Canis lupus familiaris: one gene and its partners. The protein of the gene in region 5 interacts with the protein of the main gene of each other region in a biochemical or structural test. Links are inferred from orthologs where the notes say so. Each region holds a gene or a part of one and is shown on either strand. Other genes may lie near its edges.

Region 1 (6,400 bases), on a different chromosome or scaffold from region 5:
TTCATAAAGCATAAGTTTTAGGATCAAATAGGGTCTTTAAAGAATGCTCAAAATCCACATAGCAGTATCTCAAATATACCAGTATTAAGAAGCATTCGCCAGCTTTCCAAAGCCAAGAATTTGATAGTTGTCACCCAAATACTGTTAAAATTCACAATTTGTTGTAGGTTACCACTCTTCTCAAAAGCGGTTTTTCATCTTGTTTATCATAAACTTCAAACTGTCATCTTTTAGTATTCCCTTCATTAGGTGATGTTACTGGAATGACAGCAAAACCTCCAAGACATTTTCAGATTATAAAGCTTACCCTACACTCCAATCCAAAGGAGTCCTTCCTTACATTTCCCACTGCACCTCTTCAAACTGGGTTTGTGCCCTCTTCACCCAACCTTGAATTTGTTAAGTTCTTAAGTGACTGAACTCCAGCTGTTTTTCTACTATCTAGATACAATTAACCCCACTATGAAGTAAAATGCTATCAAATGCCTCACATTTTAGGGTGCTTCAACATTTATATGACAATGCATTCCAGTAACTAAGGAAACAAAAACATGCCATTAACAAGTTTACTTCATAGTGATAGAATACAAATTTTATATGCAACACATGGACTTTGGTATTACAGAACTTAACCTGTTTCTATAAACTATCATATGGTGTTACTTTGCTTATCTAAGAGAAAGTGTGTTGCGCCAACAGACCCTTTTCCTATAGCATTGCTTTTACTTTGTTTTTACTATGTATTTTAACTTTCTTGCCCTTAAACAAGATGAAAAAACTTCCAAGTTTCCTATCCAGGAAAAGTTAACCCAAATTTCAGTTTAAACACTAGAAATAAGGTTCTGTGCAACTCCAATCTTTTACCTGAATACTATAAAGGCTACAGTGTTGACCAAAACAAGACACAGGTTTCTCATTAAACTTTTGTTTTAATGGGTCTCAAAATTCTGTGACAGATTTTTGGTCAAGTTGTTTCCATTAAAAAGTACTGATTTTAAAAACTAATAACTTAAAACTGCCACACACGCACAAAAAAAAAAAAAAAACAAATGGTCCACAAAACATTCTCCTTTCCTTCTGAAGGTTTTACGATGCATTGTTATCATTAACCAGTCTTTTACTATTAAACTTAAATGGCCAATTGACACAAACAGTTCTGAGACCGTTCTTCCACCACTGATTAAGACTGGGGTGGCAGGTATTAGGGATAATATTCATTTAGCCTTCTGAGCTTTCTGGGCAGACTTGGTGACTTTGCCAGCTCCAGCTGCCTTCTTGTCCACTGCTTTGATGACACCCACAGCAACCGTCTGTCTCATGTCACGAACAGCAAAACGGCCTATTAAAACAAATTTTAGATCACTATCAGAAACTGTATCAGAAACTATACACAAATAGCACGTCCTAGTGCTTCAGTAAGTTTTCTAATTATGCTTAAATCATTCTTACCCAGAGGAGGATAGTCAGAGAAGCTCTCAACACACATAGGTTTGCCAGGAACCATATCAACAATGGCAGCATCCCCAGATTTCAAGAACTTGGGACCATCTTCCAGCTTCTTTCCAGAACGACGATCTATCTTTTCCTTCAGCTCAGCAAACTTGCAGGCAATGTGAGCTGTGTGACAATCCAGCACAGGTGCATATCCAGCACTGATTTGGCCTGGATGGTTCAGGATAATCACCTTGGAGGAAAAAATTGCATTTAATACATTTCAAACAGGATCTAGCAAAGAGAACATTGCCACTCTTAAGTGTGTTACCTGAGCTGTGAAGCCAGCTGCTTCCATTGGTGGGTCATTTTTGCTGTCACCAGCCACATTGCCACGACGAACATCTTTGACAGATACGTTCTTGACATTGAAGCCCACATTGTCCCCAGGAAGAGCCTCACTCAAAGCTTCATGGTGCATTTCAACAGACTTTACTTCAGTTGTAACATTGACTGGAGCAAAGGTGACCACCATACCAGGCTTAAGAACACCAGTCTCCACTCGACCCACTGGGACAGTACCAATACCTAAAATATTTAGAAGCATCGTGTCAGATACCTTCTGTGAAGAACAATCCATAAATCGTATTTTTAAATGGCAATGTTCAACTTACCACCAATTTTGTAGACGTCTTGGAGAGGCAGACGCAAGGGCTTATCAGTTGGACGAGTTGGTGGCAGAATGCAATCCAGGGCTTCAAGCAGTGTGGTTCCGCTGGCATTCCCATCTTTACGGGTGACTTTCCATCCCTTGAACCAAGGCATCTAAAAAAACAAGATTGTCCATTAGCATTCCCCAAACTGTTGTCATTTAGTGTCAACATATGCCTCTTCTATCACTTCCTCAAAGCCTTGAAGTCACTTACGTTAGCACTTGGCTCCAGCATGTTGTCACCATTCCAACCAGAAATTGGCACAAATGCTACTGTGTCGGGGTTGTAGCCAATTTTCTTAATGTAGGTGCTGACTTCTTTAACGATTTCCTCGTATCTCTTCTGGCTGTAGGGTGGTTCAGTGGAATCCATTTTGTTAACACCAACAATTAGTTGTTTTACACCCAGTGTGTAAGCCAGAAGGGCATGCTCACGGGTCTGCCCATTCTTGGAGATACCTGCTTCAAATTCACCAACACCAGCAGCAACAATCAGGACAGCACAGTCAGCCTTTAAAAGACAAAAAGACATCCTGTTAAATAAATGTTCCTCAAAAAGATGAACTCCCCCTTTTTTCCCATACAAAACCCAAGCCTACAGTTATTTTCAAGTAATCCTACAAACCTGAGATGTGCCTGTAATCATGTTTTTGATAAAGTCTCTGTGTCCTGGGGCATCAATGATGGTCACGTAATACTTGCTGGTCTCGAATTTCCACAGGGAGATATCAATGGTGATACCACGTTCACGTTCAGCTTTCAGTTTATCCAAGACCCAGGCATACTTGAAGGAGCCTTTTCCCATCTGTAAGGATTAAGAATGGTTACTTGGTAACTTAAACACAAACTTCCAACTTGAAATCCCTAACTCCTGCTTAAGCAGAAATGCGGATTCCACTTTACAGTTAGGTAGTTCTATCTCCCAAAGTTACATAGATAAAAAACTCTTCAGCAAGCACAAACAATCTACCACAAGCAGCAGATTCTGATAGACTAGTAACTAGTTTTGGGGAAGTTGACACTGGCCGACTTTTTTTTAACGATCTCTCATTAAGTTAGTATACCAACCTCAGCAGCCTCCTTCTCAAATTTTTCGATAGTTCTTTTGTCGATCCCACCACATTTGTAGATCAGATGGCCAGTAGTGGTAGACTTGCCCGAATCTACGTGTCCAATGACGACGATGTTGATGTGAGTCTTCTCCTTTCCCATTTTGGTTTAGGTTTAGCGGTGGTTTTCACGACACCTAAATTTTAGGGTAGGAACAAACCCTTTTAACTACTGTCCCGGAGGCTTGAAAATAAGCCACGACCAAACTCGCAGAGACCAAATTCCAAGAATTACAACCAGGGCCAAGCTGGCCCAACTCTCGTCTCCACCCACCAAGCGTGGGGTTAACTCCACCGCATAAAATCCCCTCCCCCCTCCGGGGAAGGCCTGCTTGTAAGGCGTTGAGGCGGAATGGAGGTGCCAAGACGGCGTTCGGTACACCGTAGGGTCACAGGAAGCAGCGGCCTAACAGGGAAAGGCCCTTTTCCTTTGTGTGGGTGACTCACCCGCCCGCTCTCCCGGGCCGCCGCGTCCTCCATTTTGAGCTGCCTGCAGCAGGGCCGGAGAGCGGCCATCTTTCCGCGCACGCAACTGGTGCCGAGCGGGCCGGCCTCTCCGCCCGGCGTAGGACGGTACATCGCGGCGCGAGGCCCGGCACCAGAGCCGCCCGGCCCACTCCACGGGACTCTCCCGCGTCCGACGCGGCGCCCACGGCTCGTGGGCCTTCCCCGCCTCGTCGGACATGTGCGCCGGGACGAGCGGGCCTCGTCGCCGCCCTCCGCGCCTCGCGGCGGCCCCACACCCCAAGAACGCGACGACCGCGGAAAAGCCCACCCCGTTCAAGTCCTGACCAACCTCCGCTCAACCATCTCGACGGAGAAAACCATAGCGGCCTTCTTTTGGTAGGTCAAACGTCTGGAGGCTTAAACCACTGTACGAGGGCAGGCAAGAAGGTGCGGCGGAATTCGCACGCGGCCGCCACAACACCCAAGCCAGGCCTCAAACCAACCACGAGGCAAAAGGGGTCCTAAAAAAAGGCGCAAGGCCTGGAACCTTCCCACCCACTCACAATCCGAAATTCGGGGTCAAGAACATCGTAAAGTGGCTCGGTGGCGCGGCCGTTGTAAAAGGCACGCGAGGGCCGCTGGCAGCTCAAAGAGGCCAGGCCCGCGGGAGCCACACCCGGCACTCACCTGTGTTCTGGCGGCAAACCCGTTGCGAAAAAGAACGTTCAAGGCGGCTACGGCACTTATATACGGTCCTCCCCCACCCTCGGGGAAGAGGGCGGAGCCAGCACACGACACCACTTTCCCAGTTTACCCCGCGCCAACTCCATCAGGCACCGGTTCGGTCGCCATCCCCTCCCCCTACTGCTCGGGGACCGTGGGCGATGTGCGCTCAGCCCACTAAAGAGCGCACATCTCCTCGCGCATGCTCCTCTTGACCCCGATGACGGCGAGAGTGAGTGGGTGGGGAGGCGGGGACGAGCTTTCCGCTCGTTCTATGTTAGTGAGAGTTTAACGACGGTCCCTGGGATTCCCCGAGGCTGAAGCGAGTCCTCCTTTGTATGAATTACTCTCAGCTCCAGCTGAAGGGGCGGGCGGGGGGGCGAGGAGGCGGCCCTGCGGGGAAGTACTGAATCTGCCCTCTACGGTTCCTGGTTTAACTGCAAAGATGGTGTGGCGATTGGAGTACGCCTTCCCTCCGCAGTATACCTCCAGTTCTTAACCTGGTCCTCTCCAAGGTCCAGGACTGCCCCTTTGAGCCGCTTCCTCCGCTCGTCGCAGGTCCGCCCTGGGCTGGCTCCTCCCTCGCCCCTGCCTTCTCTTCCTCTCGGGGCTGGAGAGTACAAGGCCCGGGCTCCCAGGGCAGCGAGGGACCCGAGGGGCCGCCTTCACAGCCGGAGAATCCGCAAGGGTTTCAACTCGGTGGCCGTGACCCGGACGAATGTGCTCTTGGGCTAGCCTTTTGGCTTGTTCCAGTCCGAGCCCGCTGCTTTTACCGAAGCCCGAGTCACACGTTCACCCCATATGGTACTCCAGACGTCTAGTTCTTCAGTTCAGAATAGATTTCAATCCCACAGTCTGCCTTTTAACTCTAGTTTCATTACGTTATAGAAAGACCCTATGTGTGTCTACTCTCGTGGTACATTTTTTCTACAGTGTACACTCATTTGATTGCTAGCATGAGCAACCTAAAAAGAATTTTTCAAATTCAGTCTTTCCGCATGATCTCAAGTAGAAACTAAGATCTACGGCTTCAGCAAGCTTATCCACCCAATTTCCTATCCCCAACACTTGCTGCGAATCACTGCTTCTTAAAGGTGGCCTAGCCCATTTAAATAAATTAGTTCATTTTCTGTTAAATGGATTTTAACTCCATTTGAGCATAAATTTAGGGCGAAACCGGATGAGGCCTTTTTGGTTGGCAATCAGGGCAGACTGAGAAATACTTTCAAGAAGGAACTTTTATTTTTAATGAGCTAGTTACTATATCAGTATGTCTCTTCCATGTGTGGAACATCACTGCAACTCCTCCAGCCAATCTGTTAACAAATGCTTGAAACCTACTATGTGTCCAGTGCTAAGCGAGTTCTGTGGCATGTGCAAAATAAATTCTCCTTTGGAGAGGAACCCACGATCAAATTGGAAGGGGAAAACTAATATATAAAACAACTGGGAAGCAGTTAAAGGCAAACTTGTATGGTGCTTACTTTTTATTTCATTGTAGAATATAGTTCTAGTCCTAGTTTTCAGTTACTTCTCACAACCCCAAATCCCTTTTTTACTTTGTAAATGAAATAAGTCTTCTGGGCAGCCCGGGTGGCTCAGTGGTTTAGCCCTGCCTTCAGCCCAGGGCGTGATCCTGGGGACCCAGAATCGAGTCCCACATCAGGCTCCCTGCATGCAGCCTGCTTCTCCCTCTGCCTGTCTCGGCCTCTCTCTCTGTCTCTCATGAATAAATAAATAAAATCTTAAAAAAAAAAGCATTATAAAAAAAAGTTTAAAAAAAAGTCTTCTGAACGAGCCTTCCTATATCTTCTTGTTTTACCACTCTTTGTAGATATAAGCTTCTAAAAATAAGGTTTTTTAATTTCTTCATTAGTAGGTTTCTAGCCTTCTCTTTCTAATTTTGAGAGTTTTCATGAAAGAACTTAGGCCATATAAAGTTTCCCTAGAAATTAATATATCTTTTTCCAGCAAAAAA
Region 2 (6,478 bases), on a different chromosome or scaffold from region 5:
AGTTGGGCTTCCTTGCTCAGTGGACAGCCTGCTTTTCCCTCTCCTTCTGCTGCTCCCCTGCTTGCATTCTCTCTCTCTGTCAAATAAATAAATAAATAAAATCTTTAAAAAATAAATAAATAAACCAAATTACCTCCCAAATGCCTTATCTCCAAATACAATCACATTGAGGGGTGGGCCTTCAATATAGGAATTTAGGGTGGAGGGAGACATAATTCAGTCCACAGCAATATTTCTTTTTTTTTTTTTTTTTAAAGATTTTATTTATTCATGAGAGACACACACAGAGAAGCAGAAACATAGGCAGAGAGAGAAGCAGGCTCCCTGTGAGAAGCACGATGCAGAACTCTATCCCAGGACCTCAGGACCATGGCCTGAGCCAAAGGCAGATGCTCAACCACTAGCCACCCGGGTATCCTGCAATATTTATATCAAAAAAAAAAAAAAGAAAAAAAAAGCTTATATGCAGTGCCAACTGATCTTTTCCTTTTTTTCTAAATGGAATTCTCTGAAATATAAATATGCTACTTTTTGTAGCACATGCCTTTCCATCCTCTCTTCTTTCATTGTTTTTTCACAACTCCTGGAGAATAGTTCTAAAATAGTTCTGGGGCACTTGGGTGGCTCGGTCAGTTAAGCATGTGCCTTAGACTCAGGTCATGACCCCAGGGTGGAGGATCTCCCCCTATTGCCTGCTTCCTGCTCCACAAGAAGTCTGCCCCTTCTCCCAACTCACGCTTTCTCTATCTTCCTCTCTTTCGGTCTCAGATAAATAAATAAAATCTAAAGAAAAAAAAAATACTTCTCTTGTGCAGCCCCTTAGGACATTATTCAGGGCTCTTCAAGATTCTCATTCCAAACTCTCTTCCCTGCTTCACATCCCAGAGGCCCTGCAGCCTCCAATGGTCGCCTGCCTGTGGACTCCCTGTACCCTACAATTGGAGGCATCCTGAATTATTCAGATAGATTTTCAATGCTTACTGTTTGGAAGCCCCACTCCACAGTTCTTTCTCCAGTGTCTGTTTGAATTTGGTGATTTACCTCTCTCTGTTCTCATGTCACTTTATAGCATAAGTTACAACATAAGTACCATCATAAAATTCTAATCCTGTGTTCTCCCACCCCCAAGCCTAAGCAAGAATTGTATCTGATTAATTTTCTGTCCATAAAGTACTTTAGAGACCCTAAATTCAAGTTGGCCCAAAGAATTAATAAACTGAATTTGCTAAGATGCTAGGATGAATTTACAATAACCCCTTAAAGTTTAAAAACAAAGATAATTGAGTTAAAATGAAAAATCTAGCATCACAGCTATAGAAGCTTGTGATCTTCATGTTGAATGTAAAATGGATATAATGAATTATAAGCTGTTATTAGGTGCTATAAAATGAATGCCTTGTTGAGGCCTCCCAGAGAGAAATATCTACATGCACTCATTAAAATCAGTACCCTGAACTGACAGAGAACAGTCATCTTCCCTAGAGTACTTCTCTGGGGTAGTCAATTTTCATTTAAAATGTGAACTTGGGTGTTGAAAAGTAAGTTTTACAAGTTCTTAGGTTCAGGCAGAGATTTCACAACCACCTACCTCCAATGTGAACCCCAAGTGCTCTGTCACCTAGGAGCACAAAATTGTTAAGACCATGTGTTGGTACCACAAATGGTGCCAGATGACAGATGCTTCTCACTGTGTAAAAAAGGTACTAAACACTTACATGCATGTGATATACTAGCTCATTGTTTATCCTAATCTGGGTCTTTTTTTTTTTTTTTTTTGGTATATGGAACAGTTCAAGAATTTGTGCGTCATCTTTGCGCAGGGACCAACTTAATCTGTTTTGTTCCAATTTTAGCACATTGCTGTCCAAGCCAGCACCTAATCTGGCTCTTCTGACAGGTCTTTGTAGCGTTCATGGTAATCCATCCTTGTTCTACATTCCATTAAGAGCAGCCCTTATTAGGTGACTCTTATTGCCAGTTCTATTTTATTTTTTAAAGACTGAAAGAATGATGTTCAAGTGCAAACATCTCTCTTAAGGTTATTGTGGAGGGCAGTGAGAGAGAGAGAGAGAGAGAGAGAGTTTTTGATACTTAGTTATTTAAAGTATAATTTAGGTCTCCCCCCCCCCCAAAGACTTGTGAATTTTTGTGTTCTAAAAAACTAAAATTCTGTTGTGAAAATATTTAAAAATCTAAAAATGTAAAATTTTGTCTTTCATTTTTAAATACATGGAATTTTAAGTAAATGGAAACTTTAAAATTCTGAAAATAAAGTAAAAACAAAGCATATATGCGTGTGTGAAATGGATTCCTTTGGCCCAGCCGGAAAATCACCCACTTAGAAAAACACCATTTACGGTAGCTTTAAGTATTAGAAGTGAAAGTGATGGAATCTGAATGTCAAGGTAGCATCGCTTTTGTGATGAGAGAGCTGAGTGCAGTACGTTTTAATTGTGCCAATACTGAACAGGGAAGAACCCGACCCAGGGCCAACAGTAGATTTCCGACGACCAGAAGCAGTAGGACGACGCTCCCCAGCGATGAAAGAAAGCGCCTGCGCTGGGACTCAGTTGGCGCCCGCCCTCCTGCTTTTTCGCCAGCCGCCGTTTCCACCCTCTTTCGCGCTTCGGCCTCCCGGGAAGCCCAGCCCCGAGCGTCGCTGAGCTCCGATTGGCTCCTTTGAAAGTCTACGGGCTGCCTGATTGGCGGGCCCCCGGCCCTTTAGCGCGGTGAGTTTGAAACAGCTCGCGCTCCGCTTCAAAGCTGGCTCTGGGAAGTTGAGGCGAGAGCGACGCGGACGTGGAGGCGGCCGCTGCTTTCGCCGCGGGACAGTAAGGCGGGCGGCCTCGCTGAGGTCAGGGTCGTTCCTGCGGGGCGTCTGCGCCGCGGGGCCCGGCTCGGAGGCCGCGGCTGGTGGTGGGAGGCCGCGGGGGGCCGCGCGGGGCCGGGCCGGGCCGGGCCGGGCCTCCGGATCCTAGGCCGCGCCCTCGCTGGGGCCCCGGGGCCCGGCCCTCCGGGGAGGCTGGCGGGAGCCCCGACGCGGCGGGCGCGCTCCCGGGCGGGTGAGGCCGCCGGCCGGCTGAGGAGGCCGTCGGGGCGTGGCGCCGGCCGGACGACGCCGATTGCCGGGCTCCGGCCTGGGCCCCGCGCGCGCCGCCCTGCTCCCTGGCGTGGCCGGCCAGACCCCACCTGGGCCAGGTGCCCGCGTGGGAGCGCCGGCGGGCCCCGCTGGCCTGTGGGCCTCCCCGGGGTTCCCTGCGCCCGCGGCCCTGGCGCGCCCGGAGCTGTGGAGAGACCCGGCCAAGGACAGAACCAGAGGAGGAGGAAGCTCGGGGTGGCCCCTTGACTCTAAGCTGTTGTATGTGCTGTGCCATCGGCCCACAGGGAAGGCTCAGAAACGCCTCGAGAAAGCACATACGCGTGTGCTCAGTATTCCTGATCGGTCTTTGTTTAACACTAGAGCTCCCCATGTGCACGCCTGCTTGCTTGCTTCAAAGACCTGGAGGCCTCTGGGTAGGAGACGAAGCTGTGGTGTCGCGGTGCCGGGCCCCAGGGGCAGGGCCTCCAGAGGCTTTGTGAAGCCGCGTCCTCTCTGTGAGATTGTCACAGCAGCGACACGGAGAGCCGGCGAGGCCTAGGAAACCCAGCTTTGAAAGGCTTGCTCAGAGCGAGCTCGACAGTTGGATTGTTCGTCAGGCGTGTTAAATCTGGGCGTCGTAGAAGGGATGATTACCGTTCTGTAAAATTAAAAATGTCTAAGATGGGAACTCCTAGCCAGTGTAGTGCAACTTCGTTCATTTAAAAAGATTTTCTTGCTTCTACTTCTGGCATGATCCCGGAGACCAGTGCGAGCGTCGACTACCCAGTGACCTATGTACGTAATCTTATCAGGGATGAGTGTGTTAGAAAGTCAAGGTAATTCTACTCTGGGCTTCTGAAGTGAAGATTTCTTTGGCAAACTTCTCAGCTGAGGACGTCTTGAAGGTCTTGTCAGCCTCTCAACTGACGTTTAAGCAGTCTTGCTGATGGTGGTTGATTATTACGGCCACAGTAGCTCTATTTGTGTCATTAAAACTTTTTTCCTTTTGAATTTTCTTAGAAAAGGGGTACAAATTCAGTCAAATAACATTATTTGACTTACTTAACACAAATAACATTTGTGGAAATGGCTGGGTATAACTGGCAGAAATTGATGCTCCTTAGAAGTGTTACATAAAGAAACACACTTGTTTTTTTGTTTGGGAGGGATAGATAAGTTTGATACCTGAATTTGAGGGTTAATCTGATTGCAAGAAGCAAAGTACTACACTGGCTAAGATATACAAATCCAATGTTTTAAGAGCTAAAAAAGGTGGAAAAATCTTATTGCAAAGGTCCCTTCCCTTGTAAATGTTTTAACATAATTAGTATTTATGGGAAATTAATACTGCAGTAGACACTGGAAAATGCTTTATACTATCATTAAAAACTTAAAACCATCTTTTGAGTTAGTGGCATATGATCAAATTAATTTTTTCTCTCATTTTAGGATCCTACCGTATCTGTTGATTAACTATGGAAGATTATACCAAAATAGAGAAAATTGGAGAAGGTGAGTGGTTTTAATAATAAAAGAGTTAAAAAATGATTTGGTAATGCTCTAATATCTGGGACATGAAAACCTGTAAATATTTATTGAAATCCAATCTTTAAGGTGTCCTTCAGTGCTAATGTGCCTTGATTATATGTTCTTTACATGGTAACATATGCACAAAATGTTCAGATTTCAAGAAAATTGAAATTATTCTGATAGGATTCCCTGCCAACCCTCTCCCATCCCCCTAAAAATCTTATATTTTTTAAGTACTAAACACTTAAAGCAATATTTGTATTTTGAAAACACTATTGAGATCTTGTGTTATGTTTTGGTGGGGAGAGGTTAGGGAAGTAGAATTTTTTTTTTTTTTTTTTAAGATTTTTATTTATTTACTTGAGAGAGCACAAGCAGGGGGAGCTTCAGAGGGAGAGGGAAAAACTGGCTCCTTGCTGAATGAACAGGGAGTCCATGCGGGTCTGTATCCCAGAACTCTGGGATCAGGACCTGAGCTGAAGGCAGACGCTTAATCGACTGAGCCACCCAGATACGCCTAGGGCAGTAGAATTCTATTAAGTTTAATAGTGTACTTTTAATCATGTACAATTCTTTTTAAGTGCTTTTACCCAAACTTTCTAAACTAGTATAATAGACTATTAAACCAATTTATTTATTTATTTATTTATTTTTTAATTTTTATTTATTTATGATAGTCACACAGAGAGAGAGAGAGAGAGAGAGAGGCAGAGACATAGGCAGAGGGAGAAGCAGGCTCTATGCACCAGGAGCCCGATGTGGGATTCGATCCCTGGTCTCCAGGATCGCGCCCTGGGCCAAAGGCAGGCGCTAAACCGCTGCGCCACCCAGGGATCCCTATTAAACCAATTTAAATAAATTTTTTAATTTCCCTTGATTTAAATGACATGTCATGTATACCTGCTTAAGCAATTCTAAAACAACTTTTTTTTTTAAAGATTTTATTTATCCATTAGAGAGAGAGAGAGAGAGAAAGCAGGGGGAGGCTCAGAGGAAGAAGCAGGCTCTCCACAGAGCAGGAACTTGATATAGGGCTTGATCCCAGGACTCTGGGATTATGACTTGAGCTGAAGGCAGGCACTTAAACAACTGAGCTACCCAGGTGTCCCTAAAACCAGTAACTCTTGTATATGATCATTCCCCTCTGTAGTACTTTCATTGAAGTTTTTAAAGAATGTTTATATGGCACAAGTGGAAGGGTAAAAATCCCTTTACTTTTTTTTTTCCCCAAAAAGAATATATAAGTTTCTGTATAAGAGTTGGTATTAACGTTCTAAACTCTATAGGAACAAATGGTACACCTTTATGCAAAGCAATTTGCTATTAGAGTAATTTATGTAGGTCTGTTTGAGGGATATTTCCAATCAGTATATTTTTAGTGTGTTTCAAAACCGTATTTGTACAAGGAATACTACTAAAATCTAGGGGCGGAGTACTGGAAAGAATTTAGTAAGATAGTAATGAATAACTTTAGGTAGTGCACGGGTTAGAGATACATTCTTTTTCTTACCAATACTGTATTTTTTTAATCGCTTAAATACTTTCTTAAATCCTCTCAACTAAATTTTGTTTGAGTTGAGAATAAGTTTTGAATAACATATCTAATGTCTTCTACTTTGAGTTTTTCTTAATCCCCAGAGAATCAAATGAGTGGTGATTTTGTTTGTAACAAAAAGTTATTCTTAAAGTGTAAATGTGTTTTCCTTTAAAACTCTGGAACTCCTAACATGCAGGAGGCTACGTATTTGACTTTAGTTGAAATAGAAGCAGTAAAGAATATAATTTCAAATGTTGCCTCATTTCCTTGAGTTAAATGATTCCCATTCTACCATATGATGTCCTCTCAAATTCCCTGTAGAATTTTGGCCT
Region 3 (4,720 bases), on a different chromosome or scaffold from region 5:
GGTTTCATGATAATCTAAATTTAACTCTATAAAGTCCAAATTACCGGTATGTGGGAGTTTGAGGGCATTTAATCACTTCAGATTTGTATTCTTTTCAAAAAAAGTTTCCGTACTTTGCCATTACCTATTCCTACACCTGCATCAAAACATAAAAAAGCGCTGGGTGTAATAAGGAACAAGGGAGACGAAAGCTTACTGGTGTCAAAGAGTAAGAATTCTGCAAGAGAAAGGAAAAACGTAAATCGAGGTTTTCAAAGTAGCAGCCCAAGTTCCCAAAAGGCTTTTTTTTTTTTTTTTTTAACCGGTTGCACCACAACCTGCAAACTCCCTGCCCACGCCAATGTTGCAAGACCTTGAAAGCATCAGTGAAGCAGTCAGCGCAGAGCCTGGCATCACGTGCCTCCACACACACACTACCTTCCTGCCCATCTCCCGACCCAGCCAGGAAGACAAAGAAAAACCGACACGAATTTAGGCGGAAAACAAACAAAACCGGCTTCTGGGAAGAGGCCAGCATCGGCCGGTCTGGCGAACGCTCCACATCCCGGACGCGGAGCTAGATTTCGACGGGCAGCGCAGTCTCGGCCCCGCCGGCGCCTGAGGGGGGCGCTTCTGCTCCCGCCCGCCGCACGCACGCCTTACCGGAGCGCCGCGCCAGGCCGCCCGCGCGCCGACGGCTCACTCACGGTTGGCAGCGGAGGCGCCCGAGGCCTCATGGCACGCCTCGCCTAACTGTCACCCCGCCCCACCCGCCCAGCTCGACGCCGGAAGCGATGCGCCGAAAGGCAGCGCGCCGGAAGCGGCGTCACCGGGAGCGACGCCCCCTCCTTCCGCTCTCTGGAAGGTCCGGCTTTGGCCCTGCGCTCGGGGGAGCGTGCTGCGGAGGCTCCGGGAGCTGGGGCGGGGGAGGGGGGCGCCGGTGGAGTCTCGCCCTGTGAGGTCGCGGGAGTCGCTGCTGCGGCTGGGGCTGCGGCCCGGGCTTGCTGCCGGCCACTCCCGCTGGGTGTCTAAGGTGACCGGCCGCCCCGTTTCTTTCTCTGATCCCAGGCGCAGTGTTGGGAGCTCAAGCGGCACCCCTGGGAGACGGAAACCCCGACAGTGCAGCAACCACTGGAATGCCGAGCCGCCTATTCACTGCCCGGGCTGTAGGCCTTCCTCGCCCTTCCTCGCCGTGCCGCGTGGGCTCTGCTGGTCAGTACCCCACCACTACTGTCGTGGCCCCACATTCTAGTGCTGGTTTCCCTCTCTTCTCGATCAGGATGTCGATCCTTACCCAGATAAGAGGCCCGCCCACAAGGGACATTTTGCAGCACATGAAGCTTTGTAAATGTCAGATTTATTAAAGTATAATTTACATACAATAAAGCACAATTGGATGAGTTTGAGAAGTGCATACAGTCTTGGAACCATCACCAGTCATATAAGTTACATCACTCCCAAAACCCGTCAGGCCCCTCGGCAGCCAATGTCCTTCCCCACCCCCAGGCACACAGAAGGTCCAGTAACTAGAACTCAGTCCAGGTATTACAACAAAGAAACCTGTCATTTAAACCACCAGCACAAAATACACTGGGATAAAGGACTTTAATGAAGCAATTCTCAACGTGTACTATGCCAGTTTGTGACCCAATTAGTAACACTTCAACAGTCTGTTTCACAACTACTAGTCCCAAAAAAGGCTATTTATACTAGAAAAATCATTTTTGCACAAACCTATTGCTTGGGCCCTATCAAATCTACTAAATCTTTCAAGATTCTTTTAAAAGGCTCCCTAGGCTAAAGAAACACTGGCCTATAGCAATGCTAGTCTTCTAAAGCCCACAGCTTTGGATACAAAAAGCTTCTGAAAAAAGTGTTAGTTTTTGCTAAAAAAATATATAGGGTTTGGTCTACTCCCCTGTTCATTTCTTGAACTCAAGTTAGAATACCAAAATAAGTTTGACAAGTGAATCCCCAAAAATATCTTGTCACCTACTGTATTTGGAATACTTCATTTACATGAAATGGTAGCTTGAACTGAATTCCTTAGGATACTTGCAACAGTCCAAATGAAGGCACGGTCTTCTGATATTTGAAATTCAAAAAACCTTTATTTAAATTGAAAAAAATTATTTAAACTGCATTTAGAGTCAAAACCCTTTTGTTATGAAAATCACGAGAACTTTTTAGGTAAGGCAGAAATATTTCTAGGTTAACAAGTCCAGATTTGATTTTGTTCTTTAAACAAATTGTAAAGAATGAAGAAAAAATAGGTTATTTACAGAAAATATCTACATATGTACTCAGAGGTACAAATTTGATGACAGAAGAAACATAAGTACATGTTGGCATCTCAGAAGCAGTTCTTAAAGAGCTTAATTTTATTTTCTTGGATTTTAAGAAAAATATCTAAGATCCTTCTTCATCCTCAATCTTGGGAGCCAAGTAGTACTTTAAATGTCCCATATCAGCAATTTTATACTCTACAACTGAAAGAAGACAGGAACATAATTATTGAGAAGTACCACATATGCAATCTACAAAACAAGATTCAACAAACTGATTATCTTACCAAGGGGTACATCTGCAGACATACTGAGTGTTACTGTAGGAGAGAGCGGAGTGGCTTTTGTAAAGAAGTTCAAGTATCTCAGTGCAAAAGTTAGCTGAACTGGCTCATTCATCTCTATGGTAACCTGAAAGAGAAAACAAAAGATTAATCATATTGAAAAACATCAAGAAAGTTACAACTCATTAGTTTGGAATATACATTTATTTTTAAAGATTAGAGAGCAAGAGAGAGAGAGCGCATGCATGCAAGAGTGAGCAAGTGGAAGGTGTTAATATTCAAACACACTCCCAGCTAAGTAAAGAGCCCAAGCAGGGAGATCATGATCTGAGCCAAAACCAGGAGTTGGGAGCTTAACCGACTGAGCCACCCAGGCACCCCTAGAATATACATTTAAAAAACAAACAAAAAAACCATGTATTAGTTTCATATCATTCTTCAAAGTAGCCAATTTTGAGTAATGGTAAATAAAGCAAAAGACTCAGGTATTTAGTCTTTCCCATTTGAACTATATATAGCTCAGGTAAACAAATTACGTGATAAGAGAAAGCTCTTTATGGGAATGCTTTTAATAATTAAATCAGCTAATAAATGAATGAAATATATTATTATAACCCTAATGACCTAATGATTCTAAATGATTATTATGGCTAAGAAAATATATGTACACACCTCACACCTACTAGAGGTACACACACCACCATCTGTAGAGTATTCTTGCTCTCATTCCCAAAACAAAGAAAACACTGAATATCATCAAGCCTCCGGAGCTGTGGCTACCAGTTTATAGGAAATACAGGTTAGATAAACATATTAATTGACATAGGGATACAATGGGTAAAATCCAGACTTTGGGAAAACTCAGTGACAAAGGACTTGCTTCAACAATTGTAATGGGGGAGGGGGGCAGAATTGAATGGAGAACCAATGAATTAAAAGAAATCTGAGGGATGCCTGGGTGGCTCAGAGGTTGAGGGTCTGCTTTTGGCTCAGGGCGTGAATCCTGCAGTCCAAGGATCGAGTCCTGCATCGGGTTCCCTGCATGGAGCCTGCTCCTCCCTCTGCCTATGTCTCTACCGCTCTCTCTGTGTCTCTCATGAATAAGTAAAATCTTTTTTCTTTTAAAAGATTTATTTATTTATTTATTTATTCATTCATTCAGAGAGAGAGAGAGAGAGGGGCAGAGACACCGGCAGAGTGAGAAGCAGGCTCCATGCAGGAAGCCTGATGTGGGACTCGATCTGGGGTCTCCAGGATCACACCCCGGGCTGCAGGCGGCGCTAAACCGCTGCGCCACCGGGGCTGCCCAAATCTTAAAAAATAAAAGTAAAATAAATTAAAAAAGAATAGAGGGCAGCCTGGGTGGCTCAGTGGTTTAGCTTAAGCCCAGGGCGTGATCCTGGAGATGAGGGTTTGAGTCCCATATCAGGCTCCCTGCATGGAGCCTGCTTCTCCCTCTGCCTGTGTCTCTGCCTCTCTGTCTCTTGTGAATAAATAAATAAATAAAATCTTAAAAAAATTTTAAAAAATAAAGAAATCTGAGGGTCTATCAACAAACTAAAATGTATAGTGCCTATTAAAATCTTGATTCAAATTTCTGAAATAACCAAGAAAATAGGAAACACTGCTAAATTTCTTTTTCATTTTATATTTTTGCTAAATTTCTTAATATCAAATAATGAATGTCATTAAATGCTTATCCTTCAGATATAAGACTATTTAAAAAAGAATTAATTTGATTATAACAAAAAATCGGTTGGCAGGTGAATTACAATGTGATTTAGGAGACAGATAATGCAGAATTAGCCTCTGGACTTTTGCTACTAATATTTTTAAGTCTTTATTTAACCTGAGGGTTGACTACTTACGCAAGGGACAAGAATATCTAATATAGTTACCGTAAACTTAAAATGCCAGACACAATAAATAAATAAATAAATAAATAAATAAATAAATAAATAAATAAATTAAAATAAAATAAATAAATAAAATAAAATAAAATAAAATAAAATAAAATAAAATGCCAGACACTACGTTAGGCACTTTGAATATGTTACCACATATTTAATCCTAATAATCCTGTGAGGTTAAAACCATCAATTCACTTTCATTTACAAAATTAGCTGATTTTTAAAAAATTTTTATTTATTCATGACAGACACGAGAGGCAGG
Region 4 (6,593 bases), on a different chromosome or scaffold from region 5:
ATTTCCCCACGTACAGGGGATGAAAGCCCCACTCCACGACACAGCCAGAGGGCCCACCATGACCTCACCTGGCCAGCCTCAGTTTATCCATGTCCATCCACTTCCCCGGCTGCTCTCCACACTCCCAACCCTGGAGCTTTTCACTATGCCCCACAAGCATACCACGAAGGTAGGAATCAGCATTCCATCCTGGGCCCAGGGCTGGCCCACAGGAGACACTGCTACTTCAACCTGAAATCACACTTTCTCCCCATCCTTAATAAAAAGGATGTAGAAGCAAGGGCTCCAAACAATAAATCCAAGTCTATCCGCTTGCTTGCAACTAGAAGGAATAACTATCCAGTATTAGTCTCAAGAAGTTGATTTACCAGGGGCTGATGACGAGGGTTGCTCACTCTTTTGGGTATTATTCAGTGACCTAGAGGCAGGACGAGGGACACCAGTTGCCTGCAATTGCTTCTGCTTCAGATTCTGAGCCGGTTTATGGCTGGAGACGAGCTTTTGGGTTTGTGGAGGAACTCGCTGGGAAGAATTTGAAGGACACAAGACCCGCTGGGCCTGGCCACTATTTGCAGATAATGGATTCTGTGAAGGAACTTGCTGAGTCACCAGAACACGTTTTGGACCATCACCAAGTGCAATTGCAGTCTAGATTGGGAGGGAAACATAAATTTCATGTCTTCGTAAACAAAAGCTGAGTGTTTTGAGAATTCCACAAAGTCTGTTTTCCTAGTATAGCAAAATACATATTCCATGATAATCCATGGAATGGGAAAGCTATTTTCATCAGCACTCCCAGAGGATATGGTTTGTATACAGCTGAAAGGAATACCTGAATGATACCTCCCACCCACCTCAAAAAAACCATGCCCCCAAAAACATTCATTAACTAAACTTCCATCTAAAAAGAGAGACATTAAACACTTTCTAAGAATTCTCAATGATTTGGGAATTACTACTTGGCAAAAAGCAACAATACCAAAATTTTATAACAAAATCCCAATTCCATTGAAATTTATTTGGCAGTACCATACATGTTTAGAAAAAAAGACAAATATGTCGAAATATTTAACAGTGGTTATCTGAGTCAAGATGTTTTAAAAGACTGAATTTTTGCATTTGCCAGATTTCCACAAAATACTTCTATTATTTATTAATGTTTCATTGTCCAAGTATTTACAAAATGGTTCTGAGCCAAAAGAACTATGGCAAAGAAGAAACAAATAGGATCTTCGAAAAGTTAGGTCAAAATACATTATTTACATGCCAATAAGTGGAGGATCACAAGCTTAAGAAAAAAGTTAATTCTAAGACCTTGAACCAGTCAAACTAAAATGGGGTAGAGGACTTCCTCCAACTACAATGGAGGAAATCTCCTCATAAACACGGAAACAATGCTAGGAAGGGAAGCCTCAGAGTTCATCACAAGCTCACTAGGTATGGGTGCTTCACAAGAGACAGGTATCCAACTTCCAAGTAAAAGTCAGTTACTTCTGAAATTAGTGACATCCACAGGCAGCGACAAATGTTTTAAACAGAGCAGCTTTTAAAAATGATCTTTATCATAGGAATTGAGAATCAGATACAATGACTCAAGTTAGCCTTTTTCTAATTGGTTATTGACTTTTAGCCAGTAAAAAAAAAAAAAAAAAGTTAAGGTATCCATTTACTTGAAAAACTTCTCACACCTATCAGAATGGCTAACACCAAAAACACAAGGAACAAGTTGTTGATGAAGACTTGGGGGAAAAGGAACCCTTGCACACTACTGGTGGGAATACAAACCAGTGCAGGTGAAGCAGTATGGAGGCTCCTGAAAAAGTCAAAAATAGGGGAGCCTGGGTGGCTCCATAGGTTGGACATCTGACTCATGGTTTTGGCTGGGGTCGTGATCTCAGGAGGTCGTGAGATAGAGCCCAAGGTCAGGCTCAGCACCGAGTTTAGAACCTCCTTAACATTCTCTCCCTCTCCCTCTGCCACAGCCGCCGCCCCTCCACACACACACCCCACTCATGCATGCTCTCTCAAACAAACAAACAAACAAAAAAAAAAAAAAAGAAAAGGAAAACTTTTAGGGACGCCTGGGTGGCTTAGTGGCTGAGCATCTGCCTTTGGCTCAGGTCATGATCCTGGGGTCCTGGGGTCCTGGGATCAAGTCCCACATCAGGTTCCCTGCAAGGAGCCTGAGCCTGCTTCTCCCTCTGCCTGTGTCTCTGCTTTTCTCTGTGTCTCTCATGAATAAATAAATAAAACCTTAAAAAAAAAAAAAAAAAGTAAAGGAAAACTTCTAAAAACAACACATACATACAAAACAAGAAACAAGATTTGTATGTTTATGCTCTTTTCCTAGAAGGAAAAAAAAATCTGGGGAATATTTATATTAAAGGATCTTTATATAAAGACTCATTTAAATTCTAAGAGCCAGAGGTACTTCCTTGATGAAGCCTTTCTAGATTCCAACCTATCCCAATCTGAACATCCCTCTGCAGAATTACTCAGGTCATTTCATATACACATATTTTATGAAAGTGTGATACCAGCTCACATAACCCACCAAAGAGCTAATAAGCTCTTGGAAGTCAAAGACCATGTGCTTTTTTATCATTATAACCCCTGCATCTGACACAACCTGGCTCAAAGTGGGTTCCCAAGAAATGTTCACTAAAATGCAGCTTGACAGTCCTCTGAATCATGACCAGAACAGACTATTACAAAGCAATTTAACTTCTGGCAAGCAAGTAAGCACAAGCAAGTATTAGGCACCCATTGTGTACATTATCCCGCACACAATGGAGGAATATAGATACTTAAACAGCTAGCTAGAAGACAAAGCAGAACAAAATAATAGTTACAGTGACAATCAACAAAATGTCACTGAATGCAGAGAAAAAGTGACAGACATCCAGGAATGTAGTAGAGTTCTGAAGTTAAAATCCAAAGTAAAGGTAAAACGAAGTCCAGATATAAAAACCAATCTCCACTGGGTTTTATAAATGTGATCAAGATTACAGATTGGGACGCCTAGATGACTCAGCAGTTGTGCATCTGCCCTTGGCTCAGGGCATGATCCTGGAGTTCCAGGATCAAGTCCCACACCAGGCTCCCTGCATGGAGCCTGCTTCTCCCTCCACCTTTGTCTCTGCCTCTCTGCCTGTGTTTCTCATGAATAAAATCTTAAAAAAAAAAAAAAAAAAATTTAAGATTATTCAACTTACCTTAACAGGCCCTGCAATGCAGTTTTCTTTAGATTTGTCCATAATGCCTGAAAAGAAAAGAGCCACCTTTAATTTATACAAATCCCTGTGCTTCAAAGTGCTACTATGCTAGATCAGGGTTATAGCTCCTGATGAAAAAGCCTCAACAACACAGAATTTCACACTTTTTCTTTGTCCAAATGAAGCTGGCAAGGGAGCCTTGCTTTCTCGGGTAACCTAAGGGACAGGTGTGGGGCCTCCCTCACCCCCCAACTTCACTCCCTGAGACCACCTGCTCCACCACCCCCTCTCTAGGGGATTAATTCCAACAGTGCAGGAGCCTGCTTCCAGCCCTGCTCCCTTTTAAAAAAAAAAGCAGCTTCTCTCTTCCCCATAACATACTCTAGATAGAACAGCATCTTTCCTCTCACTCTTCAACAGCAAAGCTCCAGAACAGTCATTACACTCCCTGCATCCACCATTTCTCTGGCTCTTCGCCCTCCCCCATCAGGATTTTGTCCCTACGGAGGAGTCAGCTCACGACTGACCTCTAATGTTAGCAAATTCAAAGGTCCAATCAGCACCCTGGGCTCCCTGGTGTCCCCAGCAGCATTTGACAGCGTCACTCTTTTTTCTACTCCCAGCCTCTGCTGGCTTGGAGGGTGGTCCCTGACCTTACCAGCTGTCCTGCTGTGACCTCCTTTGCTCCATCAGTCTGACTTTTGCCAACCTGAGAGTCTAGGGTAACCCATGAATGAGTCCTTGGACCCCACTTTCCATCCATTCCCTTCCTAGGGTCCCCCATCCAGAACCAGGGCTCTAAACATCTTTAAGATGACTTGAATTTACATCTTCTACCCTAACCTGTCCTGACTACCAGACTATTACCTACCTCCTGTTCATTATCCCCCACATCCAGACAGCTCTTTTCTCCTCCCGGCTTCTCTTCCCCTCTGCTCTCAGGAGCAGCCTGAGCTCAGGCCTAGAAACACTTCTACTGCTATACTCATTCCCTATTAAACTCATCCAGTCTCCTGGCTCTCAATAGCACTCACAAGCTGAGGACCTCCAAACTTCCATCTTCAGCCCAGACTTCTCCCCTGAACTCCTATCACCTATGAAACATCACCACCTGTAACCAGAGAGGCATCTCAAGTTTAAAATGTCTCAAATGAAATTCCTGCTCCCTCCCTACTCTATCTCCCCAACCCCGTTTTCACAGATGTCCCCATCTCAGTTACTGGCAAACCCATCTTGCCAGTTGCTTGGGTTAACTGATCTTTTACATGATTCTCCCTCAAACCCCATACCTAATCCATCAGCATATTTTGTAGGCTCTACCTTCAAAATCACTGCTCAAGACATTTAATACCACCACCTGATTAAATCAATGCTCTCTCCCCTCATTTCTTTGCCACAGGCTCCCGATGGTCACTCTGCTTCCACCCTTACCCCATGATGGTCCATTTGCAACACTGCACCCAGTGATCCCATTAACAAGTCAGCTAGGCCGGCCCTTAGTTCACAAGCCAAGCCCCTCCTGGTCCCTCAACTCCAATTCAAATTCAACTTGCACAGACAGACCTACAGTCTCTGACCACCTATTGGACTGATCTCCTCTTGCGTTCTGCACACCAGCCATACAGGGCTTCTTTCTTTCCTCAAAGCAGTGCACTGCCTCAGGGCCTTTGTACTTCCTGTTCTCTCTACCCATTTGGCACTTCTCTCAAATACAAGTGTGGCTTGCTCCCCATGACATTCAGGTCTCTCCTCAGATGGCTCTCTAACCATCTCGTTTTTATTTTTCTGCATAGCCCTTACTTAACACCTTACATGACGTTACTTGTACTCGCTTACTTCTGCCTCCCAGCTCCCTAATCAGTATCTCCAAGGAAAGTAAGCTCCATGAGAGCAAGGGCTTAGACTCATTTTGTTTACTGTTGCCCCCTGCCAGAACTTGTCTGGCACATAGTATTTACACCAATGTTTGGGGGAATGAGTTAATCCGTTAAGAAAGCATATTAATAATGAAAATAGTTAACACTTGCTAAGCCCATACTGTGAGTCAGGCACAGTCTAGTAAATCAGAAGAACATAAACTCCAAGAAAGCAGAAACCTTTCTGTATTTTTCCTACCCAGGTGCTCTCCGAATTCTAGAATCCAATCAGAAAGTGCCTCCCATCCCCACGCTTTCACATCCACTTCACAAATAAGCAAAAAACTTCACCTTGAAGATGGAACCACAGCTAAAGAGAGAGGAGTCCTTATGTCCAACAGCAGGTTAGGAGAAACAGGAAGGAGAAAGGAGTTATAAGCTTGTGTTATGCAAACATTAATTTCACACACGCTCTAAGGCTTTCTTCACTTTCCCCAACAACCACAGGCAGCAGACCAATGAGATCACACAGGCCTAACATTTATTCAATCGTCTTCAACAGAAGCTAGATACTTGTTCCAATTGAATATACTTTTCCTTCTCAGAGAGATGAATAATAATAAACAGAATGAAATAAGATGATTCTGATCCAGAGATTCTGGAGAGAGCCCCAGGAAAACTGCCTTTCTAGTGATTCCAGTCCACAGCGAGATTCAGGAGTCCCATGACCCCATGACCCTCACAAGATCCCTGCGGCTCAAACCACATGTCCTACTACTCTGAACAGGAGATGTGCTAAGATTGTATAGCTCTGCACATTTAGACTTTTTCTCCATCAAAACTGCTTAGTGTCTGCACGGACTCAGAGGAGGGCAGCAATGAGTATGTTGCTGACAAGTATTTCATTCAGAGAACAAGGAGGATTAAGGAGCAGATGGAGCCGTTACAAATCAGGGGCAGTAGCTCCATCTACATCTGGAGGACACGTGTTAGAAATGGAGACTTTCGGGGATCCCTGGGTGGTGCAGCAGTTTGGCGCCTGCCTTTGGCCCAGGGCGCGATCCTGGAGACCCGGGATCGAATCCCACATCAGGCTCCCGGTGCATGGAGCCTGCTCCTCCCTCTGCCTGTGTCTCTGCCTCTCTCTCTCTCTCTCTGTGACTATCATAAATAAATAAATTTTTAAAATTAAAAAAAAAAAAAAAGAAAGAAAGAAATGGAGACTTTCGGAGATGCCTGGGTGGCTCAGCGGTTCAGTGCCTGCCTTCCGCCCAGGGCGTGACCCCGGGGTCCCGGATCCAGTCCTGCCTCAGGCTCTCTGCATGGAGCCTGCTTCTCCCCCTGCCTGTGTCTCTGTGTTTGTGTGTGTCTCTCTATCATGAATAAACAAATAAAATATTAAAAAAAAAAAAGAAAGTAAGAAATGGAGACTTTCGAGCTTGACCGTAGACCCAACAAATCGGATTGTGCATTTTAACTTCCCCAGACGACTCGTGTGCGCTGGTCTAGATCACTGGATCCC
Region 5 (6,347 bases):
TACTACAGATAGATGATTTCAGAAGGGTTTTAATTTTTCCATATAAAAAAAAAACTTGTTTAAAATACATTCCGAGTTAAAAGAAACAAAAGCACACATTAAGAAACGATGCAATTATTCCATACCAGTTTATTGTAGGTATTGTGTTTCAAAAAATTTATAGCATAAATAACTTCTCCTGTCATAAAATAACTTAGTACAATTTATAATAAAACTTTTGAGAATTTAACATCTCATCAAAATACAATAAAATATGGTTTTAAAATAGGATTAACCCTTTCTGCTTTTCTTTTACTTGAGGGCATATAAACCAAAAATACCCAAGCTACTGCTGCACATTTGAACTTTAACAAAGCACATTTGGTTTATTTAAATGTAACTCAACCATCCTAAATTAATACATAGTTTGTTTTCCTTCCTGCGTGGTTCTTTGTAATTTTTGTTCCTTTTGACTTGTATTTGTTTCAACATAGCTTCCTTCTTCATTTTCACCTCTTTCCATCTGCAAAGTCATCTAGCTCCGGGCCCCCGGAATCTGTAGTTGAACTCACTCAGCCCCTTGACATCAGTTTCTGTAATCCTTGCATCAGTGTGGGGAGTAACTGCTTGAGTAACTACAAAGGTATTTCAAAACTTCAGTGCAATTTGGTTCAGTTATTTTCATTCAGATGCCATCACCGCTCAGGGAGGTTAATCACTGGAACCCACTGATCCATGTAGCGACTTTCCCGGCAAAAACAAATAAGTTGACTTAAGGCAGGATCCTTCCACTGTGAGGAATGGGGATTCTGGAAACAAATTGAGAAAAATACATTTACTATTAAAAAAGAAAAAAAAGGCAACATTTGCTAATAATTACACTCATTTCGAGGGAAAGACAACTTGAGCATTCTGTACTTTGGCTGTGTGACAAGAGACCAGTTACAACCATAAAAAGATCAACTTTTTTCTTGGTAGCTGATTTCTGGGGAAACCACTACGTAATGCTCTAAAGCACACCCTGCAAGCCTGCATGCATGCAGCCCTCCGCACCGCGTACATGGGACTGCAGGATGTTTACTGCGTTTTTGCAGGAAAGTAGCAGAGTAGCATTCAGAGGCTTGTCCCCTGGAAGCCACCTGAGCGAGAAACAGCTCGGACAAAGATCTCCATGCCCCGAGCCCAGGGAGAGGCGAGCCCCTAACAGTTCGCTGGAACTGCCACCTGTCATCCTCCCCAAAGACAGGGTGGTAGTTTTCAGGACACGCAAAATGATTAAGCCGCCACTTACCTAGACCAGCCCATAAGTAGCAGAATGTAAAAGACAAAACTGTCCTATTTATCTCTGGAAACACAAGTCATCTTCCCACCAAAGGTAGTCATGGGGGGGGGGGGGGTCCATTAAAAAAAAATCCAAGATTGCAAATAAAAAACAATCCCCATTCCGTCCTCTTCGTGTATTTCTAGGGAATTAATAAGGTCGGTCTCCTACACCACTTCTATTTTTAGCTTGGAGCGCTGGAGGACGAAGCCGACTCCTTAATGAGGGGGAGCCAGGAATTTATTTGGCTGAACCTAATCTGCCTGCTAAGGGAGTCGGTCACGGGAGGCAGCGCCGCGGAGGTGGGGAGGGGCCGCCCTGCTGACTCACGAGGCTCCTTCCCCCGCGGCTCCCGCGTGCTCGGACACGTCCCGGCCCGCCCGCCCGCCGGGATGGGGCCACACCTGTCGGCTGCGGTCGGGAGCTCGGCCCCGCCACCGACCCCGGGGCTCACCGGCACCAGGACCCGGTGCACCCCTGCGCCCCCCCCCACCGCCGTCACCAGGACGGTCCGGCCCTTCCCCCGTGCACCACCTCCGCACCCCTGTGCACCACCCCCCATGCATCACCCCCCGACCCCGTGCACCACCCCCAGCCCCGTGCACCCCCGTGCTCCCCCCCCCCCCCGCCTCACCGTCACCAGGACGGTCCGGCCCTTCCCCCGTGCAACCCCGCGCACCCCCCCCCCCCGCCTCACCGTCACCAGGACGGTCAGGCCTTTCCCCGTGCACCACCCCCAGCCCCGTGCACCCCCGCGCCCCCCCCCGCCTCACCGTCAGCAGGACGGTCCGGCCCTTCCCCGTGCACCACCGCGCACCACCCGCAGCCCCGTGCACCCCCGCGCCCCCCCCCCCCCGCCTCACCGTCACCAGGACGGTCCGGCCCTTCCCCCGTGCACCCCCCCGACCCCGTGCAACCCCGCGCACCCCCATGCCCCCCCTCACCGTCACCAGGACGCAGTGCAGGTCCGGGGGCTGCTCGGCGCCCTCGCTCGCGGGGCCGGCGTGGGGCTCGAGGAGCAGCAGCTCGGCCAGGCGGCCCGGGTTGCTGACGCGCAGGATGTCGATGTCGTTCTCGCAGCAGAAGGCCTGGATCAGGGTGAAGTGGATCTGCAGCGCCACGTCCCTGTCGTCGTCCTCGTCGGCCGCCAGCAGGCACAGCACCACGTTGTCCGGGTCGCTGCGGGCGGCGGGGGCGGCTGAGCGCGCAGGCCCCGGGGTCCCAGGGTCGCGCCCGCCCGCCGCCCCCCGCCCCCGGGCCAGGTGGGGGGCTCCGCGGGGGCAGGTGGAGGACTCACTCCCCGCGGGCAGGTGGGGGGGGCTCCCCGGGGGCAGGTGAAGGGCTCCCCCGGGGTCGCCTGGAGGGGCTCTCCAGGGGGCAGGTGGGGGGGCTCCGCGGGGTCGCCTCGGGGGGGGTCTCCGGGGCAGGTGTAAGACTCACTCCCCGGGGGCATGTGGGGGGCTCCGCGGGGTCGCCTGGGGGGGGGGGGTCTCCGGGGCAGGTGTAAGACTCACTCCCCGGGGGCAGGTGGGGGGCTCCCCGGGGTCGCCTGGAGGGGCTCTCCAGGGGGCATGTGGGGGGCTCCGCGGGGTCGCCTGGGGGGGGTCTCCGGGGGGCAGGTGTAAGACTCACTCCCCGGGGGCAGGTGGGGGGGCTCCCCGGGGGCATGTGGGGGGCTCCGCGGGGTCGCCTGGGGGGCGGGGCCCCACTCACACGTTGAGCAGCTTGGCCGCCTCGTACACGCCGACGGTGATGGTGCGCTGACTCAGGGCTTTGCTGAGCACCTCCTCCAGGGCGTCCCCCACCTTGTCCATCCTGCCCGGGAGCCAGCGCGGGGCGCGTCAGCCCAGGCCCGGCCCGCCAGCCGCCCTCCGACCCCATCGCCCTCCCCGAGGCCGCCGCCAGGGCCCGCGGGGAGGGGCGCGTCCGCCCGCCCGCCCGTCCGTCAGTCCGTCCGTCCGTCCGTCAGTCCGCCGGCGCCTCGGGGGCGGTGCCCGGGGCGGGCGGGGGGCGCTCGGGAGGCCGCCGCCCTACCTTTCGCTCTTCTGCTCCGCGGCCGAGAATTCCTCCAAAGTCATATTGCAGCCGCGGGTCCGCCCCAGGGCGCGGCGTGCGGGCTGCTCGGGCCTCTGCGGGCGCGCGGCGCCTGGCGTCTGCACCGCGTCCGTCGGCCCGTCCGTCCGCCCGTCCGCGGCCCCGCTCCGCCCCGCCCCTGCGCCCGCCGCCGCCGCCGCCGCCGCCGCCGCCGCAGCCACTGGGACAAAGGCCCCCTCGCCGCCCTTATGGGGCCGACCGCAGCCAATCACCACCCGCCTCATTTGCATGCGCACAGCCATTGGGTTATGCAAATCAGCCTGCTCCGACCATGTGACCCCGGCTCCAGGACCCGCGGGGAGAGGAGCGGAAGGGGGCGGAGCCACGCGGAAGGCGGGCGGCCTAGGGGGCGGGGCGGGCGGCCTAGGGGGCGGGGCGAGCGGCCTAGGGGGCGGGGCGGGGAGGGGGAGGGCGGGGCGGGGAGGGGGAGGGCGGGGCGGGGAGGGGGAGGGCGGGGCGGGTCCGGAGCCGACTCTGATCCGGTGGGAGGCTCCGAGGAGGGTGGGGGGTCTCTGCAGCGGCGGGGCAGAGGGGTGCCTTCCACTTGAGCCCCGAGCAGGCTGCCAACTGTTTTTCTGGTTGGTGCACATTTTTATTTTATTGTCGTTTCATGTCTTTTGTTTTTAGCAGTTGCTATTAAAGTCTATTTCCAGGGCTAATGCACCCAAGTCTAGTAATTATTAGTAAGCAGGTTACATAAAAAGAGTGTTTCAGACCTCTGGGGCAAAGTTGACTTCAGAAGTGTTGTTTATGTAAGTCTAGGCAAAGCTGCTTATTAGTAGTAGTATTATTTCGGTGCCCTGATGGCTGGTTTGATTTATTTTTGGAAGGTTGCAAGGGTTGGAAGCTCAAAAAAGAAAAATCAACACATTTGTGTTTGGTAATGGCACGGAACCAAGCTGGAATCTTTTCCACGGAAAGCAGAGAGGCTTCCCACCTGCCCAGGGTGACTCTGGAAACCGTGGTCAGGAGGGGGGCCGCATGTGCAATTGCTAGACTTACGACCCAAATTCACCTTTCCCGAGAGCTTTTCCCAAAGGAGGACCCTTCTGCACCTGCCCCAGCTAAGAGACACACACGTCTGACGCCCACACAAGTCTAAATTCAAAATACTCTCAATATGCCCTGAGCTTCCTTTCATAAGGCAAGTATGTCACTACCTTCCACAGAGAGCCTGTGATCTCACTGTGAGTTATTGATGTTAGATGCTGAATCATGAAGCTGCAGCTATAGGACCTTTTAGTCATACGCTAAAATTTCACCTTTGAGATAATGGCAACCTGTGGGTGGAAAGCAAGCAGAAGTTAACACACTTCTGAAAAGCAGACTTCAGTGGATAGACTTTGACTTCATAGGTTGAAAGTTCTCGCCTTTGTTTTATGAGTGTATGCGATAAATGCAGAAACAAGTCTTAAACCTATTGAAGTCACCAAAAGTGGTGAAAATGCCTCCCATATGCTCTCATTCGAAACAGTGCTTTGCATTATTAAGGTCTCTGGATAGCCAGAGGTCAGAGAAGTAATTTTTTGCAAAGGTGCATAGGAGTTTTTGCACCTGCATGTTTGTATCATTCTAGACAAAATATTCTCCAGCTCTCTTGATCTTAATTTAGTGGAAAAGAAAAGTGATATGTTGGTTTTCTGGCTCATTTATTTGAGCTGACATTTTGCACTTAATCCCTAACTGCACCGTCAGCAAGGGGCCGTGTTTGAGTGAAGGAATGGCCATGGCCAAGGGCTAATTTACCCAGGGGTGCATGTGGATTTCATACCTGTGTCCTAAATCCTAACTTGTAATGCCTTTGTTAAAGAATTCCTTAAACCTGAAATCTAGGTGGGTGCTGAAATACTTTCAGTTCTGCAAACCAAACCCGAGTTACAAATAGGGCCTGAGTCATCGTTCGGAAACTGTTGAATGTGTTCTATGGAACTTCAAGGTTCTATCCACTAGGTGTTTCTTACAGGTTCTTTGGAAGAAAGTGTGATCACAGCAAGTGACAAAGAATTAGGGAATTATGTGAGTTTATTGATAGCAGGCCCTGTGACTTCCTGAACTTAGTGTTCTCAGCATCTCATGCAGTTTCTGCATTTGACAAAACAGTCAACGTTTTATTAAGTTGACTAGAATCCGAGAGCTGAACGAGATCTCAGGATCCAACAGTCCTGTGCGGTGCATGACTCTTCTTTAAGATATTGCACCTGTAACTGATTAAAAAAAAATTTTGGTATCACACTGTATACCAAGAACTGTACAATCCCTGGTCCTTTGCCTTTAAAGTGTTTGCCATCTAATTGGTATGCCCATGCTTGGACTGGATTTTGGGACAAAATAGTGTGCACTGTCATCAGCTAGCTGTGCTGAAAGTCCCATGACTTTAGTCATCTGAACGGAAGCTGTAGGACAGAACCCATGTATTGTTTAGGCCAATTCAAATGAGCCACGGCCCTGATAATGCCCCACCCAGGTCAACTGTATACAGTGAAAATGTGGTATAACGTGGTTATTTCTTAACATGGGCTTAGTCCCTCACTCAGAAACTATACTGCGGTCTACATTTGGCCTCATGGGAAAGGGACTTCTTCAAGTGTTATGGGTTCTCTGTGAGCTAAGCCTAGCCTCCCAGTATTCAAAAATACTCATTTGTCATGCTTTCTGACTCAGATATGTTACATCATTTCACCTCATTGCTGAGTCTGCCTAGAATGTTTCATCAGGGATTGTCTTCCAGCCGTGGTCCTCTTGGCTGAAAGTAGGAGCCCCCATTTCCCTACAGTTAGGTTACAGCTATATATCAGAATGATCACAGATGAGGATTTATTTCATAAGCACTTATTAGCCCCTGGGGGGGGGGGGGTGTTGCTATCCATTGAGAGATCAGAGGAATGTCCTGCAGTCAGTATAGAACCTGTGTGCATATGTTTTTTAAAAAATAACTCTAATATGTGAAATCATT

What was found.
Region 1: the proteins of GADD45A (region 5) and EEF1A1 form a complex in vitro, tested with the Homo sapiens proteins (2 studies listed by BioGRID). The link is inferred for Canis lupus familiaris from reciprocal best matches to the Homo sapiens genes GADD45A and EEF1A1.
Region 2: the proteins of GADD45A (region 5) and CDK1 form a complex in vitro, tested with the Homo sapiens proteins (5 studies listed by BioGRID). The link is inferred for Canis lupus familiaris from reciprocal best matches to the Homo sapiens genes GADD45A and CDK1.
Region 3: the proteins of GADD45A (region 5) and PCNA form a complex in vitro, tested with the Homo sapiens proteins (4 studies listed by BioGRID, with this or other methods). The link is inferred for Canis lupus familiaris from reciprocal best matches to the Homo sapiens genes GADD45A and PCNA.
Region 4: the proteins of GADD45A (region 5) and AURKA form a complex in vitro, tested with the Homo sapiens proteins (2 studies listed by BioGRID). The link is inferred for Canis lupus familiaris from reciprocal best matches to the Homo sapiens genes GADD45A and AURKA.

What each region holds. Positions count from the first base shown.
Region 1 is NC_049233.1:35,818,957-35,825,356, forward strand, and holds the start of EEF1A1 (elongation factor 1-alpha 1), read right to left. Parts: upstream 4,324-6,400; intron 4,209-4,323; coding exon of another isoform or gene 4,100-4,208; intron 4,037-4,099; coding exon of another isoform or gene 3,936-4,036; intron 3,390-3,935; 5' UTR 3,356-3,389; coding exon 3,212-3,355; intron 2,949-3,211; coding exon 2,769-2,948; intron 2,655-2,768; coding exon 2,358-2,654; intron 2,257-2,357; coding exon 2,106-2,256; intron 2,020-2,105; coding exon 1,763-2,019; intron 1,685-1,762; coding exon 1,450-1,684; intron 1,340-1,449; coding exon 1,215-1,339; 3' UTR 1-1,214. Other genes in the region: uncharacterized protein LOC119874198, read left to right, coding at 3,936-4,036, 4,100-4,208, 4,324-4,654, 4,981-5,226. UniProt on the Homo sapiens protein: Translation elongation factor that catalyzes the GTP-dependent binding of aminoacyl-tRNA (aa-tRNA) to the A-site of ribosomes during the elongation phase of protein synthesis.
Region 2 is NC_049225.1:13,553,252-13,559,729, forward strand, and holds the start of CDK1 (cyclin-dependent kinase 1), read left to right. Parts: upstream 1-2,644; 5' UTR 2,645-2,729; exon of another isoform or gene 2,730-2,854; intron 2,855-3,231; exon of another isoform or gene 3,232-3,874; intron 3,875-4,528; 5' UTR 4,529-4,554; coding exon 4,555-4,591; intron 4,592-6,478. UniProt on the Homo sapiens protein: Plays a key role in the control of the eukaryotic cell cycle by modulating the centrosome cycle as well as mitotic onset; promotes G2-M transition via association with multiple interphase cyclins.
Region 3 is NC_049245.1:16,933,674-16,938,393, reverse strand, and holds the end of PCNA (proliferating cell nuclear antigen), read right to left. Parts: intron 2,676-4,720; coding exon 2,552-2,675; intron 2,469-2,551; coding exon 2,389-2,468; 3' UTR 1,317-2,388; downstream 1-1,316. UniProt on the Homo sapiens protein: Auxiliary protein of DNA polymerase delta and epsilon, is involved in the control of eukaryotic DNA replication by increasing the polymerase's processibility during elongation of the leading strand.
Region 4 is NC_049245.1:42,345,084-42,351,676, forward strand, and holds the start of AURKA (aurora kinase A), read right to left. Parts: upstream 4,322-6,593; 5' UTR 4,275-4,321; coding exon 4,250-4,274; intron 3,263-4,249; coding exon 3,216-3,262; intron 649-3,215; coding exon 369-648; intron 1-368. UniProt on the Homo sapiens protein: Mitotic serine/threonine kinase that contributes to the regulation of cell cycle progression.
Region 5 is NC_049227.1:77,928,460-77,934,806, forward strand, and holds GADD45A (growth arrest and DNA damage-inducible protein GADD45 alpha), read right to left. Parts: upstream 3,529-6,347; 5' UTR 3,379-3,528; coding exon 3,335-3,378; intron 3,116-3,334; coding exon 3,014-3,115; intron 2,480-3,013; coding exon 2,245-2,479; intron 789-2,244; coding exon 675-788; 3' UTR 105-674; downstream 1-104. UniProt on the Homo sapiens protein: In T-cells, functions as a regulator of p38 MAPKs by inhibiting p88 phosphorylation and activity.